3 linked regions of the Drosophila melanogaster genome follow. Each later gene encodes a partner of the first gene's protein in a complex. Each region holds a gene or a part of one and is shown in the gene's direction. Other genes may lie near its edges. The genes, in order: Arpc2, Arp2 and Arp3.

Region 1 (8,327 bases):
TTGAAATCTACAAATATTCAAACCTTTCTTTTTCAATATTGCCTTTTGAGCCACAATATTTAGTAAGTTTATTTATTTACAGATATTTTCATGCTTACACTTATGTAATAACCCTTCTTCGTAATACTTTTGCAGCTAATCTACAACATTCTAATTTCAGTTAATGACCTGACAAGGTGCCACATCCTCGATCTCCTCGCCATCGAGGGCTTTGATTTGGCACTGGCACAGGAACTGCACGATCTTACGCTCGGCACTTGCCCGCTCAGACGGACTCAGTCCGTCCAGCAGCATCTGAGCCTTGGCAAGCAGGCTGTTGGCAGGCTGTGTACTTCGCTGTTCTCGCTCCTGCTCCTGTTCGTGGTGAATCTGGGCCTGCAGCTCCCGGGATTGCTGAAGCACGGTCTCCATGTTGGCAATCACGGTGGTCAACAGTTTGTCGGAGATGGCGGCAGACGGTACAGAGTCCCCAGGGAGAGAGGAGGACTCCTCTACGACGGGATTTACCCTGGCGATTGTGTGAATTATTTCCTCACTGGTGGCCGGCGTGGTGGTGGTCACCTGGAGCTGCTGTGGTGGCTCCAAGTCCTGCCGTGCCGTCGCTTCGCTGAGGATAAAATCGTACGGCGTTGCTTGCTCCGCCTCCGATAGTATCTCAATCTCTTCATCGTAGGCCAACTCAAGATCATCCTCCAGATCGTCGTTGTCCGTACTGTAGGGGTAATCAGCGCCCCAGATTTGCTCACCACTGGAGATCACCATTCCCTCCGGCTGTTTGCTGGTCTTTCCCGAAGGATTTCCTGCTTTGGGTGGTCGTCCACGTCGCTTGATGTTCTCCAAAACCAGGGGCACTCCTTTGCGGAAGTGGCGGCCCAGAAAGAGAAGGTCGTTAAAGTACCTCCACGTGATGGGCGTGGACTGGTTGATCTGATGACTGCGGAACTCCCGCCCGAAACGATCACGCAGCTTCTTCCAGCGGTTGTAGCAAAGTTCCTCTATTGAAAATTATCGGCATTAAGGGCTGAAGATCAAGAGGGTTACCCCGAGCTCACCCGACACATTTAGGTTTTCAGAAATCTCTCGCCAGGCTTCGTTTTTCGCTGCTAGGTTCTTGGAGACTCTGATCTTGTGACGATCATACAGCACGGGATGAGACTTGACCAGCTCAATGAGCTGCTCGTTCAGCAGGTCATCCTGGGAGTCCTCCTCCTCCTCGTCCTTTCTCCGCCTCTCCTGCTCCATGTCCACTTTTGTGCGCTTTTTCCGCTCCCTGGGCTCAAAACGCATCCCGTCGAGACTCTCGTTCCTTGCCAGTCCCTGTTTGTAGTGATCCTTGAGAAAGAGCAGTCGCGGAAACATGTCCCAGTAGGTGGGCTCATCCGGACGCTCCTGGAAACGGCGAAACTCCTTGCCGAAACGATCGCGAATGCTCTTCCAGCGCGTAATGCACGCCCGTTCCGAGGCTCCTAACTTCTGGGAGATGGCCTTCCAGGCCGCGTCCTTTTGCGCCGCATTCTTCACGCTCCTCGCGCAGTCCTTGTCGTACAGGATCGGGTGTCTCTCTATCAATTTAATCAGCTCATCGTCGTCCATTGATTTTCGCTATTATTTGTTTTTATTTATTCTGAACGATCCGGCAGCCTGGCGGGAAATATTGATAGTCGATAGGCGATGGGTCATCGCACAAAAAGGGCTGCCAGATTATTCTGTTAAAAAAATGTGCCTCTTAGTTTTATAGCACCGTTATTATAACAATGTTAAATAAAATATTTGTGTGTTTGTCTTAAAATGTCTTAATACATATTTATAATTTAAAGTTCGTGTGTACGAATTTCGTTTAAAATATATTCTATTTTATATATTTTAAAGAAAATTCTCTTTATGTTTGTTAAAATCTGCTGGTTTGAATTTCTGTGTAACCTGATAACATTGATGGTCGATAGCTCGATACTTCAATCTTTCCATCGGTGAGTTTGCCCCATCTCTATTGTGCTACCTGGCAACGCTGTGAGCAAGGAAAATACGGCAGCGTGCTCCCCGTTTTCCATCCACGTTTTGTTATAATTTTATAAGTATTACGGTCTGAGACCGATTTTGCACTGCATCGTGCGCGCTGCAAGTACTGGCGATTGGAAATTGGAGGCGCGAAAAGAGGATAAGGTGGATTTTCTTGCAACTGTGTGTGTGAGCATTGGAATTCGCCCGTGTGTGTGGCGAGAGTGCGTCCATGTGTGTGTGACGGACCAAAAAAGCCGACATCAGCGCCCATTTTTTGTTGTTGATTCATTAATACGCCCGTCATGCACCAGTATTGGTGAGTTGGAGCAGCGCACCGTCTTACTCGCACTCAACGGAGCGCAGAAAGAGCGCAGGGAGCGGCAGAAGAAGAAGCAGCGAGCAGCAGCACCATTAGCGGCAGTCAACGTCATATAATTTGTCATCGAAATTGGCACACTAAAAATAACAGTTAACTTCAACCGCCATGATCCTGCTGGAAATCAATAATCGGATTATCGAGGAGACGCTGCTGGTCAAATACCGTAATGCCCAGGCTGGGTAAGTCAATGCCTTCCAGTCCCGTTTCCCCAATTTCCATTCCACCATTTTGATTTCTATGCTGCATTCCCCACCGTTCTGTTATCACCAGTCGGCTTTGTTATCAATTTCGTTAGCTCTCTCTTTCCTCGGGAATAAATTTGGGTGTAGTTCCAGCCTTGGAACACTCATCGCTGCAGCTCTCTCCCTCCCACACACGTACCCAAGTACAGTGCAGCCCCCTTACGTCGACAGCGTATTAGTTAATTCATTACAACTCGCTATTCGCATCATCGGTGCTGAAAATCTGCAAAACTGACTCATCCATTGACGTGCATTCAAACGCATACGCTTGTGATGATCGAAAATATTAGTATTTATTTGTTCCTAATCCCGAAAAAGGATATTATTATTGAAGAAACATTATCAAAGGAGTCGTGTTACGAAAGAAATATGTTTAAGCTAAACGGTTTAGAAGAAGCTTAGACGAAGCTTACAGACTAACAAAATTATTAAAATTAGTAAAATAACTTATTGTACTAACAGCACTATCAGCAGAAAGAGGTATTTGTGTTTGGTAGCGAATGATTAAGATCTCACATAAATAAATGTATTTAAATGCTAATAGTTATGATGCCATTAGTTTATTCCCGATAAGATTGCAGTGTAATGCCTGAAATTAAGGCAATAAAAGTTATAAATTGTGGAACAAAAGTGGCATACTTGGAAAAAATCTCCTGTTGTGTCTCAAATGTTCCAAAATAAACCAAAAGGACGAACGGCATCCTGAATAATCAATCATATTATAGCAGATGACTTGTGTTCGTGTACATAAAAACTAATAGTTTCAATATTACTCCCCTATTATCTGTATTCTTGGGAGACAAAGTTTACATGCTAAAGATTCTCCATTTTCCGTGTCTACAACGCTCCGATATAAATTGTAACGCTTAAATCATCTTGAGTAATTCTTTTTGTTTCTTAAGATAAATACTTTCGTGTACATTATTGCAAATTTTAGGCTTTGGAGCCAAAGTGGCATTCTTCAAAAACAATATTTGATCTGTGTCTCAAAAGCTCCAACATTAACTAGAAAGACGAACGGCATCCTGAATAATCAATCATATTATAACAGATGACTTGTGTTCGTGTACATTTGCCATAAAATGTTCAACTTTTGTAATATTCTGGAGTCAAAGTGGCACGTCTTACGATCTTCCTGTAACTTGTGTCTCAAATGCTCCAATATCAAACGAAAGGACGAACGGCATCCTGAATAATCAATCATATTATAGCAGATGACTTGTGTTCGACTACAATAGTATTCGATTTATTAGACCAATAATGCCTCGGGAGACAAAGTTTACATGTTGAAGATGATGTGGCTTCTTTTTCGTGTCTACAATGCTCCAAAATAAATTGTTCGTTTAAATCGTCTTATTCGATTTATTTTATTGCCTAAGATGGTTGCCAACTGCACAACAACTAATTAAATATTTGGGTGGAGTTAAAGTGGCATATTTTATAGCTTTCCTTTGATCTGTGTCTCTATCGCTCCAATATCAATTTTATAAGCGAACGGCATCCTGTTTAATTACTTATATTAAGACAGACGACTTGTGTTCGTGCACAACTTCAAAATGCTTCAATAGTCATATGGAGAAAAAGTTTACATGCTAAAGTATTTTTCTTTTCCGTGTCTACAATGCTCCAATATTAATTGAACGTCTAAATCATCTTGGATATAATTATATTTCCATAGATAAATACATTCGTTCACAATACATTCGTTGTTCATATGAAAATGGATTGGAGTCAAAGTGGCACACTTAATCCATTTTTATTTGTGTCTCAAATGCTCCAATATCAAATGCAAAGGCGAACGGCATCCTGAATAATTATGCATATTATAACAGATGACTTGTGTTCGCCTACAATAGCTCCTGATAGCTTTACATTCCTTTATAAGACTCCCGTCTTCGGAGACAAAGTTTACATGCTAAGGATAAGATCTTTTTCGTGTCTACAATGCTCCAAGAGCAAATGTTCGTTTAAATCATCCTTGGCATTCAATATTTTTGCTGTGGATGCATTTAATTCGTGCACATATTTATAGATATGTATGTCGTGGAGGTAAAGTGGCATTCTCGGGATATATAAACCTGCCTGTGTCTCAAACACTCCCAAATCAACTTGGTTGGCGAACGGCATCCTGAGTAATTAATAATATTACATCAGATGACTTGAGTTCGCGCACAATCGCTTTAAGATCGCAAAGTACGATTTAGGAGCCAAAGTGGCATGCCTTGGAACTTTTATCCAATTTGTGTCTCTAATGCTCCGATACTAATTATACAAACGAACGGCATCCTGTTTGATCCTACATATCACAATAGATGACTTGAGTTCGTGTACATTATTCAGAAATATTTGTTTAGTTCTTGTAATTGAATTAAACTAAATTTAGATATCGGCTTAGCGATCCAGATACAAATACATACGGATGTTTTAATTTATTCGAAAACGCAAAATATAATTTTATTGCTGCTGGTTTCTTTTGGAAAAATAATCGGGTATAAACGAGTTTATGTGATAAGATACGGTGGAGTGTGGGGAGCATGACTAATAAGCAAGAAAATAAATGAGAATTTACTTTTTAATTCTCTTTCCAGACTGAAGCCTGAATCGATAGACATACGAATAGCAGACTTCGACGGCGTCCTTTATCACATTTCCAATGTGAATGGCGATAAAACAAAAGTTCGGGTAAGTGTACCGCGTACTATTCATTTAGGATAAATCCAACATTAACGATTTCTCACTTTTCTTGGGCTGCGAAACAGATCAGCATATCGCTGAAGTTCTACAAACAGCTGCAAGAACATGGAGCCGACGAGTTGCTGAAGCGTGAATATGGCAGTCTGCTTACAGACACGGAAGAAGGTACGTTCGTGTTTAAGTTCGGCATTTAAAGAAGTTAATTACTCTCGTCTAATTGCAGGCTACAATGTTTCCGTACTTATCAACCTGGAGGAGATTCCCGAGGACTGCGAGCAAATCGCAAAGAGAATCGGACTGCTGAAGCGCAACTGTTTCGCATCGGTTTTTGAAAAGTATTTTGACTATCAGGAGCAGGGCGAAGAGGGCCAAAAGCGTGCCGTCATTAACTACCGCAACGATGAGACTTTGTAAGTCAGAAAAATATGTTTTTGACTCGTCCAAGCGCTGACAATCTACAATCGATTTGCAGATATGTGGAAGCCAAGCCTGATCGTGTCACCGTCGTCTTTAGTACCATTTTCCGGGACGAAGACGATGTCATTATCGGCAAAGTATTTATGCAGGAATTGAGGGAAGGTCGGCGTGCCTCGCACACCGCACCACAAGTGCTCTTTTCGCACCGAGAACCACCATTGGAATTGGCCAACACGGACGCTAGGGTGGGCGACAACATTGGCTATGTCACATTCGGTATGTTAAAGGTTGAATGGTAAACCATGTGCTGTGGAGCCAAAGTTTACACGTTAAAGTGCATTTGTCTTTTCCATGTCTACAAGGCTCCATATAAATAGTATCGTTAAAATCATCTTGAACATTCTAGTTTATAAATATATCCAATGATAAATACTTCCGCGCACAATAATGCATTAAAGTCACCTGTGGAGTCAAAGTGGCATGTTTTAAATTACAATTTGAATTGTGTCTCAAATGCTCCAATATCAACAAGATATGCGAACGGCATCCTGAATAATCAATCATATTATAGCAGATGACTTGTGTTTGTGTACAGTAACACACCAACCCAGAATCCCCAAGCTGAATTGTTCAGTGGAGACAAAGTTTACATTTTAACAGTATTATCGTTTTTATGTCTACAATGCTCCGAAATCAATATCCGATCCAATTATCCAAAGCAGTCTTATATTTCCTTGGATGATTTCTTTCGTTACAAAAATGTCAGTATATTCCATATGGAGTTAAAGTGGCATATTTTTAATACTTACCCTAAATCTGTGTCTCTAAAGCTCCAATATTAAATAAATAGACAATCGGCATCCTGAATAATCAATCATATTATAGCAGATGACTTGTGTTTGTGTACAGTAAAAGAATATCTTAGACTGCCTTTTTTAAATGGAGACAAAGTTTACATGTTAACAATATTATCGTTTTCGTGTCTACAATGCTCCAAAATCAATATATTCGATCGAATCATCCGAAGCAGTCTTATATTTCCTTGGATGATTTCTTTGGTGCACAGTGCACAGCTAATGTAATCCCAATGGAGTTAAAGTGGCATATTTTGTATACCTTCCTTCAATTTGTGTCTCTAATGCTCCAATATTAAATAAGTAGACGAACGGCATCCTGAATAATCAATCATATTATCGCAGATGACTTGTGTTTGTGTACAGTACTTCTTAGAATTGAACCGATGTTACACTTTGAAATATCCAAAAGAAACAAAATAGTAACGACTCATACTTGTTTTTTGCAGTACTCTTCCCTCGGCATACCAACAAAGAAACAAGGGACAATACCATTAACTTAATTCACATGTTCCGAGATTACTTGCACTACCACATTAAGGTAAGTGTTGTATGCAGCTATGCAAAAATATCTTTTATATATTTGAAATATGCATTTTTGAGCAGTGTTCAAAGGCTTACATTCATTCGCGCATGCGAGCAAAAACCTCGGATTTCCTCAAGGTGCTAAATCGTGCAAGGCCAGAGCCCAAAAACACGGAGAAGAAAACTATAACGTGAGCATTGGACTTTCCATAACGAATTCTGATTACTAACTCGTGTTCTTTTTGCAGGGGGAGAACTTTCAAGCGCATCGATTGATGTGTTCAGTATATTTAGTTGTTTTTATATAAATACAAAAAATAAATTGTGTATTAAAATTCGATATCCGAATGGTGAATCCAACATAAACTAAACCAGATTGCAAGACAAACCCAAGTATTCCAAACAGAACCGTAAGGCTAAATGTAAGCTCAGCAAAATAATGATCAAAGAATTAATAGTTACGCGTTAGTAAATGAATTGTGTGTGTTTGTGTCGAGTCATCGTCAAATCCGTGTCTCCGCCAATTTGTTACAGTCATAGGCCGAGTCAGCGCCACAGCTGAGCCGCATTTTAAACAAATAAACGTAGACTTAAGTGCAACATGAGAACTAAAACTACCATGTCAAAGCGAGCAACACGACTAAGGGATGCCACCAACTTGTTATATAGTCGCAATGGAGGATTCATCCCCGCAATTAGCCTGTATGTGTAGAAAGCGCATTTAAAAACGTACTGCAAATATTAACAAACCTTTGATACAGCAATCGGAATTAATAAAAACGAGAAAATCAAACTGCAATGTAAAATAAAAAAAGGGACACTCTTTTAATCTCTAGCTAGCTGCAGACGCTCGAATACACTTTATTTTCTAGCTTATTAGCTTTTAATTGCACATAATGTCTTAAATGTTACTAATATTTCGCTTAGGTATACCATCTCCGCTGCACAATACTATAACAGGCACTTAGATCTTAAACTTAACATTCTGCTTCGCGTTCATGCTCTCCATGCTGACCTGGAAGTTGAGATAGTCGCTCTGGATGCGGGCACACACTGAAAGAAATGTGTTGGGTAAACTAAGTTGGGACTGAGGAGCGCTTTGACTGTTACTATTGAGATGTGCTACTTACTTACAGTGGCAGTGTTCATTGCGATAGAGAGTTTACTGCTTAAGTACTTCCGATAGTTTGTACAGGGTGCGGGTGAATTTACAGAGCC
Region 2 (7,937 bases), on another chromosome or scaffold:
CTCTTCAACCACCAATAATTGCATTGAACTCTAATCTAAATATTTATACAGATATATATATATATTATATACCGAGTTGGCATTGGAAAACAGTTAGTTTTAGTGATCTATGCACGTATCGTAACAATACCAAGATTAATTAAATCGTAGCTAAAAGAAACAAATCAAGGATGAGGCGGCAGTCGCAGAGTTTCCCTCTTAGCTTTTATAAAAAAAAAAAAGATGGAGAAATGGAAACAACTTACTCAACTAATTGAGAGATACACCATATTTATATAGATATATATATAGCGTTTTTTTTTTTTGTTAATCCTCCACCACAACTATATAATTATTGAAAGTTGATGAAAGCTGTTGGGCCGTTTAAGTTTCAGAGTTTCTGTTCTATATGTGGTTAAAATTGTTAATGTTGTTACACCGCAAATGCATACTTAGTTAGTTAGTCGAGTGAAATGGGAGTTCCCCCAAATCACATTTAATTGCAATAGTCTCGAGTATTGAACGCCAAGAACACCAATTCCATAGAATGATTGTATACACTCAGAAAATCAATCGGCATTTATGTTCGAAAATCGCCGCAAATATTTTCAACAAGTATGGGTTTTTACGGATTTAAAATAATGAAATTGAAAACTAAATTCCATATTGTTAGGCTATAAACAAATGTTTCTATTGATGGACAACATTTCAGGTATAATTTTTGAAAAACAACAAATATTTATTTCAATTGTTAATACCAAAATACGCATAGGTCAACAATTAAGTTTTAATTTTTTTTTTTTAATATAGTTTAATTATCAAAGAACTATACATTTTAAGCCATTAAACGTAGGCAATATTCAGATAATTTTCTGAAATAAATTAATTGTAAATTTTGGATTCTCTTAGGGCGATTTGCATTCCGAGTGTATCAAGAGCCATGGTAAATAATAAAGCTAAGAAGTATTAATAATTCTACACTATGTATGACTAACAATACATTTGCTTAGTTCCCTCGATAAAGAAAGTACATAACTATTGCATGAGGCATAGGCAAAACTTCCTGGCACATAGTAAAAGTAAATAATTGAATAGAACGGCTGAGGAGGAGATGAGTAGATTTTGATAATATGTACGTCAAGACCATGCCAACATACTTATGGGAACTATTTAAAAAGCATTAAAACGTTCAATATAACACATAATACCCAGACAAAAGCAGAATCAAAAAATGCGGGAACGAGACGGCTGCATGGTATATACATACATATATAAGACATTTCGCCTCTTAAAGCAATTATAAAGATAACAAATGAGTAACGTTTATTATATTATTAAATTATACATACATATACATACTATATAAACGGAATAAAATAAATCAGCAACAAACTTTCCATTTTATGGCGTTCGATCACTTAACTTTTTATCCTTGGGAGCAGTATTGTCAAGTTATCATTTTTCTTCTTAATTGCTTAAATTACAATTCTTTAAATACATGCATGTATTCAATGATGGCGCCAAATTTTGAACCTGTTTTAAGTCTTAATTCAAGAATATTTTTCCAAGTATGAGAGTGAACGAGAGGCAAGAGCGCAAACGAAAAATACCAGAAATCAATGTGAGTATTTTGAAATTTCAGCAATTGCCGAATTGGTTTTTCAAATAGATGTGATTAGTTGTTAAATTGCCAAATCTTTAATCCAATAATTTAATTAATAAAGTCTTAATTGAATTGAAATTGTTTTGTGTAAATCCTGTGCAAGTAACATATATTACTAATAAACTTGTATTTTTTAATCTTTTTTAAATTGTTAAAAGTGGCACACAGACTAGTAAACTTAATTAACAAATTTGTAAAATAATAAAAAAATATAATTGGATCTAGTATCTAAACGGTTCTGGTATTTATTTTCGGTGTTTTGTACGCTTCAGTCCAACGCCGATAGTATCGAATATGCATCTATTTTTATTCAACTCTGGGGAGTAACGAGGGAGTTTTTGTACAGCAGTATAACTAAATTATAAGTATAAATAGTCGATAGCGGCAAACTGTTTCGGCCTAAATTTAATTGCGAGTCTAAATTAAGAGTTCAATTCCCAATAACCGCCAAACGAAGCGGCGATAAACGTAAGCGATAGAGTGGCGAAGAGAGCAAGGTTCCCGCCCGCGTGTTGTGAGAGTGTGCGAGTGGAAGAGGAAAGTGTATGATTAAGTACAATCGCTCTCCGGCGGTCCAAATACAAAAAAAGCCGAAAAGGAATCAATTAACAGTAGTGCTCAACAAACGGCCCAGGAAGTCAACAGGAAAGGCGATTGATGTGCAATATTTTGTTTGGTTTTATCGAGCAGAGGCGCTGCGAGCTGTGATTTCAAACCGAATCACAACCAACACCCAAAAAGGCAACCTGGTCGCGTCATCAGTGGAAGTGGAAAGGCAGTTGCCACAGCAGAGGCAGAAGCAACGGGAGTAGCAGAAGCAGTGGTTTTCCAGAGATCCGGTTTTGAGTCCTTCAAGCATGGACAGCAAGGGTCGAAATGTTATCGTCTGTGATAACGGCACTGGGGTAAGATAACGGGAAAGTCACCACCCGCACCGCCCACATCACCCACAAGCGGTGAAAACAGAGCGCACACACCCACACCATCACCAACGACTGGTGTGTGACACACATTTCGAGTGTTGTTGGCTGCGCTTCTTTCGTTTTCTTCTTCTTGTGGACTAAGCAGCGCTTCTGCTGCTGCTGCTTATTTCACTGCTTGCTGGCCAGCGGGCGTTGACGTCGCGGTTAGTCAAGCAGTTGCAGCAGTTGCAATTACGCGATTGCCTCTTCCTCTCCTTTATATTCCGCTTCCCCACTCTTCTTCTTGCTCTCCGCTTGACTAATCAGTGGATTACTCACGATTCCAGCGTTACTCAGTATCTCCCACACCTACATATTTGTCGAAAGAGCGACACTGGCACACACCAACACTTCCATAAAATTTCCGACAATCAGTTCTTATCGCAGGCCCAGAATTTTTGTATTGTGATAACGGTCCGATTTCGATAAGCGTCCGATAAACCACAACAGTAAAAGCGCAAGCAAATGCTGCACCGAGAAAAATGATTTAGCTGGTCCTAAACCAAATAATCAAAACTAATTCAAAAATTTTTGTTTTGTGATAACGGTCCGAATTCGATAAGTCACAGCAGTAAAAACGCAAGGAAATGCTGCACCGGGAAAAATGATATAGCTGGTCTTAAACAAAATGATTAAAAATAATTATTTATTATTATTATGTGCAATTTTTAAGTACCTGTTGATACAAAAGCATTTTAAATTATCATATTACGTGTTAGGGCTTAACTCAAATAATAATATATGTACATATGTCGGCTGTCATATTATTTTAATGTGTTTCCACATACACCATAATATAAATATATGTATTTATGACATCTCCATTTATTTTTCAGTTCGTTAAGTGCGGATATGCCGGCAGCAATTTCCCCACCCACATTTTTCCCTCGATGGTGGGACGACCCATGATTCGGGCGGTCAACAAAATCGGCGATATCGAAGTCAAGGTATGATCCATCGTACTTACCAATTAAAGTATCTAAAATTAATTAACAATATGATGAGATAGTACAACCATATACACTACACAAATTCAATTGTGCACAGGCCATCAAATACACGAATATCCATATATTATATCATTTTTTTTTTCGATGTAACTACTCCATGACTAGTTAAACGGCAAGAAATACATTTAGCGCATAGAAGTTCACTATCCACCAAATTACCCACCATATTTTTTCACCCCTAACCCATCTGATTTTGGAGTGGAATTGCTCTATTTTCTATTCTGTCTATTAGTGTCGCATATCTACTTACTTCTATATAATTTGTTTTCGATCTACCCCATTCGCATATCGTTTCATTTACCATCTTGATTTCATCACTTCTGGGGGTCACTTATCCCAATATTGCATTTTTGCTTGAGTTGCATTGGTCTCGGTGTGTGGGCCCTCATATTATTATACACATGCATACAAAATATATAAATATATATTATGGTAAATATATCATGCTAAAAGTTGGTCCGTGGATATCTGATTTTAACCAAGGTTTAGGCATAGCTTAATAAACTGTGGATATGGAGGCTGAACCCCGCAGACATTAAGCTTTTTTTTTTTTTGAGTGCATCACTTGATTTTCGATATATAGATCTTACTTAGAAGTTCTTTACTTTAGACAGAAGAAACATCAAATTAAGAATCATTAAGAACACATCTTGAATAGCAATAAAAAAAAAAACGATACAGAAAATAAATATTTTTAAAATTGTAATCTTTCTGTTCTTTTTTAATATTCTTATACATTTTTCTGTTCTTTTTTTCACATATATTTTTAAAAACAAATGTTTTGCAGGATTTACATGTCGATGTAAGTCAAGTTTGTATAGTTAAAAAAAAAACCAAAATCCAAACTACCACTACCAGAAATCTAATCACCAAGTAAACATAAAATAATAAAAATTTGTATACGATTGACACAATACGAAAATACCAAAAACCAAAATAACACACGCTTGGCAAAATATTGCGAAATTTTTTTGAAGTTCAAGCTGCGCACTTAGGATTTAATTAATTAATTAACTTAACTGTTAACTGTTCACATTTTTCACTAGTTGTTTGCCTTGAATATTTTCCCAACTATATTCCGGCCCCGTCCAACTATCTTGTTGCTTCCTTTTGGCCATCATCTATAATTGTACTCCATCCACAAAATCGACAAAATCCACAATCGAAAAAAAAAAATTAAAAAAAAAAACAAATCTATTAATTCTCATATCGGATAAATCTGAGGCGTGTTTAAAACCGAATTCCAATCGAATCTGTTCAATTTAACGACAAATTTACGTAAATATAATTTTTGTTATTTAAGTTTTACTCCTATGTTTTCATACCATTTGTTTCCTAGCTTACACCCTTTGGTTTTTTTTGTACATATCTTAAGGCAACCAAATTCAGTTGCTTCTCGTTTTAATTGTGATTTGCTGATTTGAAATTGTTATGTGTTCTCGTCTGCATGATGTCCTGTGTCTGCTTAGCCCTATTTTAATCCCCCGTTTGTTTTGCACGTCCCTGTGTTTGCCAGTGTTCCGGAAAGGCAAGTCCTTTTCCGCAACTACTCACACTCACTGCTGCCTCTTGTTAATCGTTGATTGTTTAGACGAGTTTAGTTGCATTCTTGTAGTGTGCTCGCTGTTATTGTGCCTAACACCTGTGTATGTCTCCCACACTAATGACTAACCATCCCAGCCTCTAAGCAAATACCCAACCAATCAACCATCCAACCAACCAAACAGTCCAAACCAATCCGAATCCCAATGGCTATCCATTGACCAAGCCACGGACACTAACGCTGCGTCCTCTGACGAACGAATTTACAGGATCTGATGGTCGGCGATGAGGCCTCACAGCTGCGATCCCTGCTGGAGGTCTCCTATCCGATGGAGAACGGTGTGGTGCGCAACTGGGACGACATGTGCCACGTGTGGGACTACACGTTCGGTCCCAAAAAGATGGACATCGATCCGACGAACACAAAAATCCTGCTAACCGAGCCGCCCATGAATCCCACAAAGAATCGCGAGAAGATGATTGAGGTGAGGTCATACCATATTTTAAAATCCCACTTCAAACTAACATTGTTGTGTTTGTGTTCACAGGTGATGTTCGAGAAATATGGCTTCGATTCGGCGTACATTGCCATCCAGGCCGTGCTGACGCTATATGCCCAGGGTCTGATCTCTGGCGTGGTGATCGATTCGGGCGATGGTGTAACGCATATATGTCCCGTCTACGAGGAGTTTGCCCTGCCCCATCTGACGCGACGATTGGACATTGCCGGTCGGGATATCACTCGCTATTTGATTAAGGTTGCTTTGCCTTACAATTACATATAGCCAAACTGTGACTTATACTTTCGCATCTATCTATGATCATTAGTTACTGTTACTACGTGGCTACGCTTTCAATCATTCCGCCGACTTCGAAACGGTTCGCATAATGAAGGAGAAGCTCTGCTACATTGGCTACGACATCGAGATGGAGCAGCGTTTGGCCCTGGAGACGACGGTGCTGGTGGAATCGTACACGCTACCCGACGGTCGTGTTATCAAGGTCGGTGGCGAGAGATTTGAGGCGCCAGAGGCTCTGTTCCAGCCGCATTTGATCAACGTCGAGGGACCGGGCATTGCGGAACTGGCCTTCAACACCATCCAGGCGGCAGACATCGACATACGGCCCGAACTCTACAAGCACATAGTTCTGTCCGGCGGCTCCACCATGTATCCGGGTCTTCCCAGTCGGCTGGAGCGTGAGATCAAACAGCTGTACCTGGAGCGGGTACTCAAGAACGATACGGAAAAGCTGGCGGTAAGTTGTCAAGTAAAGCTAATCAATGCACATCGTGTTTAACAAATTGAACGATTACATTGCAGAAATTCAAAATACGCATTGAGGATCCACCGCGACGCAAGGATATGGTCTTTATCGGCGGAGCTGTTCTGGCGGAGGTGACAAAGGATCGCGACGGCTTCTGGATGTCCAAGCAGGAGTATCAGGAACAGGGTCTCAAAGTATTGCAAAAGCTGCAAAAGATCAGTCACTAGAGGCGGATGGATGCGAAATCAGTGTGTGTGTGTGTGCGGACCGCAAGAAATAGGATAAAAAAGTGATAGATTTCTTTTCTCTATTTTCTATAGGTTTAAACCTTTCAGATTTACGTGATATATCCGTCTATATATGTTTTTTTTTTTGTGTGTGCCTGTGCGAGTGGGCGTGTCTGTTGAGCAGGATTGGTCCACTTGCCCTTAGATTATCTATAATCGCAGACATGTCGTCACTGGTCGTTATCCCCGTACAATATAATGTAATATTTCTTTGAGCGCGAAAACTTTAATTCGATAGTCGCCTAAATTGTGTAACCCTGCATTAGTGTGTTTAATTGTTTATAATTACGTCTAAAATTCAAACCCAAAAGCCCTTTTCTTTAATGAATACGCATATATAACTATATATATATACATATATAAATTCAAAGCACCTCGAGTGCGGCGATATTTTTGTAAACGCAAAATGTTTCATTTCCAGCGAGTATTTCACATTAAGTATTAACTAGGCCAAGTCTGCTAGTAGCAGCTACTAAAATCGTGTGTGTGTTAAGACAGAGACAGAGACAGAGGAAATATAACGAGGAAGTTGCATAGCACAGAAGGAGAAAGCGCGAGTTCGGTCGTTAACTAAATACACTGATTGATTCGATCCCGTCTCGCCTCCCGACACTCGACCTTAAAGTAAGCATTTCTGGATTGTCTCCAACTAGATAAAGATGAAGTTACCTACCCATAAAGATACAGATAATCGAAGTCACAAGATTACGCATTTACGTTGCCCCATAATCGAAAGTACCATCAGTCGAAGTGTTAAATTTGATTTAATTTCCTTACCTGCCTTTTCTAGTTAGTTGCAATTTGATGATTGTTGGGGTCGCAACTATCGGCATATGATGAATAGTATATACATATACATATGTGTGATCCATATACATATATCCGTATATGTAAAATGAATGTGGAATGCCAATTATGTAAGTGAATGCAATAAACGTAATTATGTATGATGTGTACTGTATACTGTAGTCTAAAACTAAATCGCATACGACTTTTTTATGGTTTTTTTTTTGCCAAATTAAAAACAAAACAAAAATGACAACAAGAGAGCATGCTATAGTCGAATTCCCCGACTATCAGATACCCGAAAAGAGTTGTTTGGCAAATGGATAGAAATTTAAGAGACTAATAAAAATATGAAAAAATTCAAAACTTTTTTTTAAAAGTGAGGGCATGCCCGTTTTGGGCGGTTTGTGGGCGCGGCAACATGGGTCAACAAACAGTTCTT
Region 3 (5,419 bases), on another chromosome or scaffold:
ATACCACTCTGCGAATTTTTGGTATTTTTCACTAACCACATTGCTGGGACTGCCATAACTAAATTTATACATACAACGTTAGTTATCTAGACTATGACTATAGATACTGCCGTCAACGTACCGCTCGAACATGCGAACCATGATGTGCAGGGCCCACTTCTTAGTCTTCCAGTAGGGGAACTCCGTTCGCTCATCATCGTCCAGGTGCGAGCTATCGGGCACTGCGCGATCAGCCACCTGACGACAGATCTCCATCCACTGCGAGAAGATCTCCTTGGTAATGAGGTCCAGTGGAAGGGTGTATTGCGTGAGGGCATAGTAGATCTTGAGAATTTGCTTTTGTAGCAGCACAGATTGCTCGGACTGCTCTGCCAGCAGTCGGACCATCAGCTGGTAGATCATGGGCAACAGTAGGTTCATTGCCTCGTTTAGCGGCGTCCTCTCCTCATGCCGCTTGTACTCGTAGGTCTTGACCAGCTGGTACATGGTTACCAGAGCTCCGTTCCAGCCGTTGACATCCTGGTTTTGCAGATATATGCTGATGCTATCCACCACCTGTGGCCAGCGTCCAGGGAAATCGCTTTTAATGATGTGATTGACGCAGACAGACAACTGGACCCTGTGTACAGAACGAAATTAGCCCCCTGGAAAGGATTTTCAATGGATTTACCCACCTAATCAACTCGGGGGCGTGCACAATAGCATCTACAATAGCGCCACGGATCATAGCCCGATCCTGTTCGTGTATAGAGAAGGGTATTGGCTCTCCAGGCTTGGCCTCGTGGTCCGACCAGCTGCTGTTGATCAGATTCTTGAGGTAGACAGCACCGGCCTGGCGCACCGGCTGTTCCACCGTCGTCTGCATAACGATCTGCAGTATGGTGGGCACAAATCCGATGATTTTGTGTATCTGTGGGGATTTTAATGTATAGAAATAAAATAGAATGGATATGTTTACACAGCTGTTTGGGGTTGGGTTAAATTTGAATTGGTCAAAGAATCAATGGCAGAAGCACTTTAAATTCCGTTCACAGAGCTCAATTAATATGGAGGAGCCAAGAACAACTGCTGGCCATAAGCGCTGATAAAGTTAATTGACAACAGGGGGGTTGGTGGGAGGCGATTGGGAGGGGCATGCAAATCGTTAGATGCTGACTCAGTCGTAATGAGCATGCCTCTACAGTGGGGCCAAAGCAATTGGTTAGTGGGGTGGGGTCTAATTAGACTGGCCGCTCTGATTGCCCACATTTATTTCCAAGGGAATTGCGTAAGCTTCAATCAAAGGGCATTCCGGCGATATTTCGAAAGTCTCAATTAAATATTTATTAACAATTCAGTGGATTTCCGAAGAATCACACGAAACTCGCAATAAATATGTACACATATAGAAATATATATAGCATACATACATATGTAGGTGCCCCAAAGATATCGACTTGTTGCCTCTGGGGCAACAACATAGAAGTCGGGATAATGGTAAACACATAAAGGGCAAACTTTTTGACCGATATCGGATTACACTATCCACACCCACACACTTGTACAACGACCAGAGTGATGAAGTGCGGGAGCGAGGGAGGTTAAAAGCGAACAATTAAAAAAGCACATGGTTTTCAGGCGATGGCGCCACCTCCAAAGACCTTTCGAATTCAAGTGCAGGCGTTTATTTTTGGGAGCAAACTCACCTGGGCCAGTTGATCCTCGGCCGCCTTGCGCTGTTCCGGATTCGGATCAATAGTTGCGCGCAACAGTTCCGTGAGTTTTTGTGCCTCCATTTTTGCTACTTTTGCTTGATTCTATGTTTCGCCGGTCTTTCTGCTGCACTTCGTCGTTTGGCGGTCACCTTGTGCCCACTGTGCACCCGCTGTTCTTGCCTTTATATAGACCTTGGTTTATGCTAGCCGAACCAGTGGCTCCAATGTGTGGGCCAAATTGCAAATCTCTTTTTCCGGAGGAAAAAACGTGGAAAAGACTCCACACACGCACACACACACCGCCGAAATTCGCGAGACGAACGAAGCTTAGAAGAAGAAGAAACAGCGCCTGTGTGTGTTGACTAACGCCGCAGTGTATGGGGCCCTACAGGGCTGCATTATGTTCGCCGGTAACAGTTTAGCCAAAAATTCGAGCAATATTGAAAAGCCTTCGCTGCGGAAAATCTAGGCACCATTTATATATAGACCACTTGCTTCATAAGGTAACTATATTTAAAGGCTTAAAAAACAGCGACTTTTCACAATTCCCGATAAATTGCCATTCAAGTTGCATGGCCAATCGATTGTTGCAGCCCTGGCAGCTGCTCGTACGTGAACACGCGAATGTGTGTGTGACGAAGAGCAAAGTGACACATAGTTGGAGGTGTGGTTGAAAATATATAGAAATCTGGGTTTATCTGCAACTGAAACGAAGGGAAATTTGTGTTAAAGGCGAGCGAAGATCGCAACTGAAGAGCTTTAACTGGCAGCAAGGCAAAAGGACGAGCAGCGACCATGGCAGGCAGGCTACCGGCATGCGTAATCGATGTGGGCACCGGGTGAGTTTTTAGTTTCGATTGCCCGTGGGGGTCTCCAATTGGACGGAAAGGAGGTCGACTGACTAACACTCTGCTTGTCTGCACATCCATCAGCTACTCCAAACTGGGATTTGCCGGGAATAAAGAGCCGCAGTTCATTATTCCCTCGGCGATTGCCATCAAGGAGTCGGCACGAGTGGGAGACACCAACACACGGCGCATCACAAAGGGCATCGAGGACCTGGACTTCTTCATCGGCGATGAGGCCTTCGATGCCACCGGCTACTCCATCAAGGTATGCTCTTGTATCTATGGTCATTAAGCAACCGACATCACATTTATCATTGCATTCCAATAGTATCCGGTGCGTCATGGTCTGGTGGAGGACTGGGACTTGATGGAGCGCTTTCTGGAGCAGTGCGTCTTTAAGTATCTGCGCGCCGAGCCTGAGGATCACTACTTCCTGCTGACTGAGCCGCCGCTAAATACGCCCGAAAATCGGGAGTACACCGCGGAGATAATGTTTGAGACGTTCAACGTTCCTGGTCTGTATATCGCCGTCCAGGCGGTGCTTGCCCTAGCCGCCAGTTGGGCCTCCCGGTCCGCAGAGGAGCGTACCCTTACAGGCATCGTGGTGGACAGCGGCGATGGAGTGACGCACGTCATACCCGTGGTAAGTAGCACAGATCTTATCTTATCAGCAGAGTTGGGTTGGCACTGGATTCGGTAAAAACTGTTTGAAAAGAGAACCCAAAACCGAAACAGTCGACGGATTTATTTAATAAATAAATAGCACATTCTGAGGCTATTATTAATACTACAGAATGTTATATTAAGAGGGAATTATTAAGATAAAATAGCGTATTAGTTATAACCATATAAATATATTAAGCTGTTTTTCATTTCTAGGCCGAGGGCTATGTGATCGGCTCCTGCATCAAGCACATTCCCATCGCGGGCCGCAATATCACCTCGTTCATCCAGAGCCTGCTACGCGAACGGGAGGTGGGCATTCCGCCGGAACAGAGCCTCGAGACTGCTAAAGCGATCAAGGAGAAGCACTGCTACATCTGTCCCGATATCGCCAAAGAATTTGCCAAGTACGACACGGAGCCGGGCAAGTGGATACGCAACTTTAGCGGCGTTAACACGGTAACCAAGGCGCCGTTCAATGTGGACGTGGGCTACGAGCGATTCCTGGGACCCGAGATCTTCTTCCATCCCGAGTTCTCAAACCCCGACTTTACCATTCCACTGTCGGAAATAGTGGATAATGTCATCCAAAACTGCCCAATCGATGTGCGGCGTCCTCTATACAATAACATTGTTCTGAGCGGTGGATCAACGATGTTCAAGGACTTCGGCAGGAGGTTGCAGCGAGATATCAAGCGATCGGTGGACACACGTCTCCGGATCAGCGAGAATTTGTCCGAGGGACGCATTAAGGTGGGTGATATCACAGCTGCTAATGAGTCATACTTCTTACTTTGATTATTTTTGTTACAGCCAAAACCCATTGATGTTCAGGTGATTACGCACCACATGCAGAGGTACGCCGTGTGGTTTGGAGGCAGCATGTTGGCTTCAACGGTAAGTTATAGTGGCCTAAGATCCGTAAAATCCTTTATCTCAATATTCTTCCCATTTCTAGCCCGAGTTCTATCAGGTGTGTCACACGAAGGCTGCCTACGAGGAGTATGGCCCCAGCATTTGCCGTCACAATCCCGTCTTTGGCACCATGACATAATTGATCCGATCCAATCGGCTTGCAGCAGTTATTTTTGATTTATTTTTCCATTTAAAATTGATTTATTGATTTATTCTCCAACTATATATATATATATATACATTGCGATTCGGTATTCCACGCTAAAGTATTAGTAATTATTCTTTTCTATATGTGTTTAGCTATTAACTCTGTGTAAATCAGTTTCGTTCTGTTTAATTTCGTGTGATTTTGTTAGGCTAACTATAAAGCAACAACTCCGATGTCTGCCAGTTCAACCCCCTATCTAAGGTGCATTATTTCTAGAAGTCGACTTTTATACCATACTCAAACACGATCACACACAGTCACACCGATCTAAGCTCTTGGAGAAATCCCGGCTCTATACACAATTAAATACGAAAACGCTCTACTTGTCATAGAAATATTTATAATTGCAATAACTGCAACCAATTCAAACACTGAATGAACAAAAAAGGAAAAACGAAAAGAAATATTGATGAGAAATCTGTTTGTTATATTGATAAGCGTAATTAAAAAGGCATTAAATAAATCAATAAAACATTCTTTAAGCTCAAACACTTTCGTCGCTTTCGATCTAAAGCTTTTACTGGAAAATTTTATTCAATGCATAAGTTACATATATATATTTTTTTGTGTTCAAATTGCTCTATGTATTGTATATATAAATTTTGTGACGGTGTCGCTAAGCTGAGAAAATAGCAAAAGGTGGTTTCCAAAAAACATGTCCCGAGCTAGAAATCCGAAACAACTTCGTTACGCCTCGCGTAATTGACAAACTGACTAGTCAATGTAGTCACTGGAGCCCTCCTCCTCGTCGTTGCTGCTCGTGGATTGTGCCGCCGCCGTTTCCGGCGAACGCAAGTGCTCTGCAATCCGGAAGTTTTGCAGGAAGTCTCGCATCGCGTCCATCATTAGCGTTAATGACTGCTGCAAACCAGCTTCTGCAATAATGTTGGAGGAGAAGTGTAACTACGATATCCGCTAGCGATTCTTTTGGAATTTCAGCATAATTTTAGGTTAGATTTTTGACGATTTTAAGAATGAGAAACAAAATATCGCTTTTAGCCAAGTTATTGAAACAAAAGCCAAAGCTTTAATACAATTTCGGGATATGAACGAAATTAAGCAAAGCCATAATACAACCAGCGAAACATATT

The links.
Region 2: Arpc2 (region 1) and Arp2 share a complex: the UniProt entries of both Drosophila melanogaster proteins name them as parts of the arp2/3 complex.
Region 3: Arpc2 (region 1) and Arp3 share a complex: the UniProt entries of both Drosophila melanogaster proteins name them as parts of the arp2/3 complex.

The regions. Positions count from the first base shown.
Region 1 is NT_033779.5:20,415,112-20,423,438, forward strand, and holds Arpc2 (Actin-related protein 2/3 complex, subunit 2), read left to right. Parts: upstream 1-1,945; 5' UTR 1,946-2,482; coding exon 2,483-2,556; intron 2,557-3,236; exon of another isoform or gene 3,237-3,370; intron 3,371-3,411; exon of another isoform or gene 3,412-3,543; intron 3,544-3,558; exon of another isoform or gene 3,559-3,693; intron 3,694-3,722; exon of another isoform or gene 3,723-3,856; intron 3,857-3,885; exon of another isoform or gene 3,886-4,022; intron 4,023-4,033; exon of another isoform or gene 4,034-4,170; intron 4,171-4,191; exon of another isoform or gene 4,192-4,319; intron 4,320-4,344; exon of another isoform or gene 4,345-4,474; intron 4,475-4,514; exon of another isoform or gene 4,515-4,645; intron 4,646-4,662; exon of another isoform or gene 4,663-4,797; intron 4,798-4,820; exon of another isoform or gene 4,821-4,954; intron 4,955-5,207; coding exon 5,208-5,301; intron 5,302-5,378; coding exon 5,379-5,478; intron 5,479-5,536; coding exon 5,537-5,723; intron 5,724-5,785; coding exon 5,786-6,006; intron 6,007-6,039; exon of another isoform or gene 6,040-6,163; intron 6,164-6,192; exon of another isoform or gene 6,193-6,327; intron 6,328-6,363; exon of another isoform or gene 6,364-6,489; intron 6,490-6,505; and 13 more. Other genes in the region: CG10949 (uncharacterized protein), read right to left, coding at 157-995, 1,053-1,593; CG15130 (uncharacterized protein), read right to left, coding at 8,074-8,162. UniProt on the Drosophila melanogaster protein: Functions as actin-binding component of the Arp2/3 complex which is involved in regulation of actin polymerization and together with an activating nucleation-promoting factor (NPF) mediates the formation of branched actin networks.
Region 2 is NC_004354.4:16,547,954-16,555,890, reverse strand, and holds Arp2 (Actin-related protein 2), read left to right. Parts: upstream 1-1,939; 5' UTR 1,940-2,499; coding exon 2,500-2,547; intron 2,548-3,440; coding exon 3,441-3,551; intron 3,552-4,401; coding exon 4,402-4,416; intron 4,417-5,425; coding exon 5,426-5,641; intron 5,642-5,704; coding exon 5,705-5,914; intron 5,915-5,984; coding exon 5,985-6,413; intron 6,414-6,478; coding exon 6,479-6,649; 3' UTR 6,650-7,106; downstream 7,107-7,937. UniProt on the Drosophila melanogaster protein: Functions as ATP-binding component of the Arp2/3 complex which is involved in regulation of actin polymerization and together with an activating nucleation-promoting factor (NPF) mediates the formation of branched actin networks.
Region 3 is NT_037436.4:8,112,796-8,118,214, reverse strand, and holds Arp3 (Actin-related protein 3), read left to right. Parts: upstream 1-2,312; 5' UTR 2,313-2,489; coding exon 2,490-2,533; intron 2,534-2,626; coding exon 2,627-2,807; intron 2,808-2,870; coding exon 2,871-3,185; intron 3,186-3,421; coding exon 3,422-3,958; intron 3,959-4,018; coding exon 4,019-4,102; intron 4,103-4,163; coding exon 4,164-4,259; 3' UTR 4,260-4,808; downstream 4,809-5,419. Other genes in the region: msk (moleskin), read right to left, coding at 1-58, 122-619, 675-910, 1,686-1,775; Nulp1 (nuclear localized protein 1), read right to left, coding at 5,043-5,203. UniProt on the Drosophila melanogaster protein: Functions as ATP-binding component of the Arp2/3 complex which is involved in regulation of actin polymerization and together with an activating nucleation-promoting factor (NPF) mediates the formation of branched actin networks.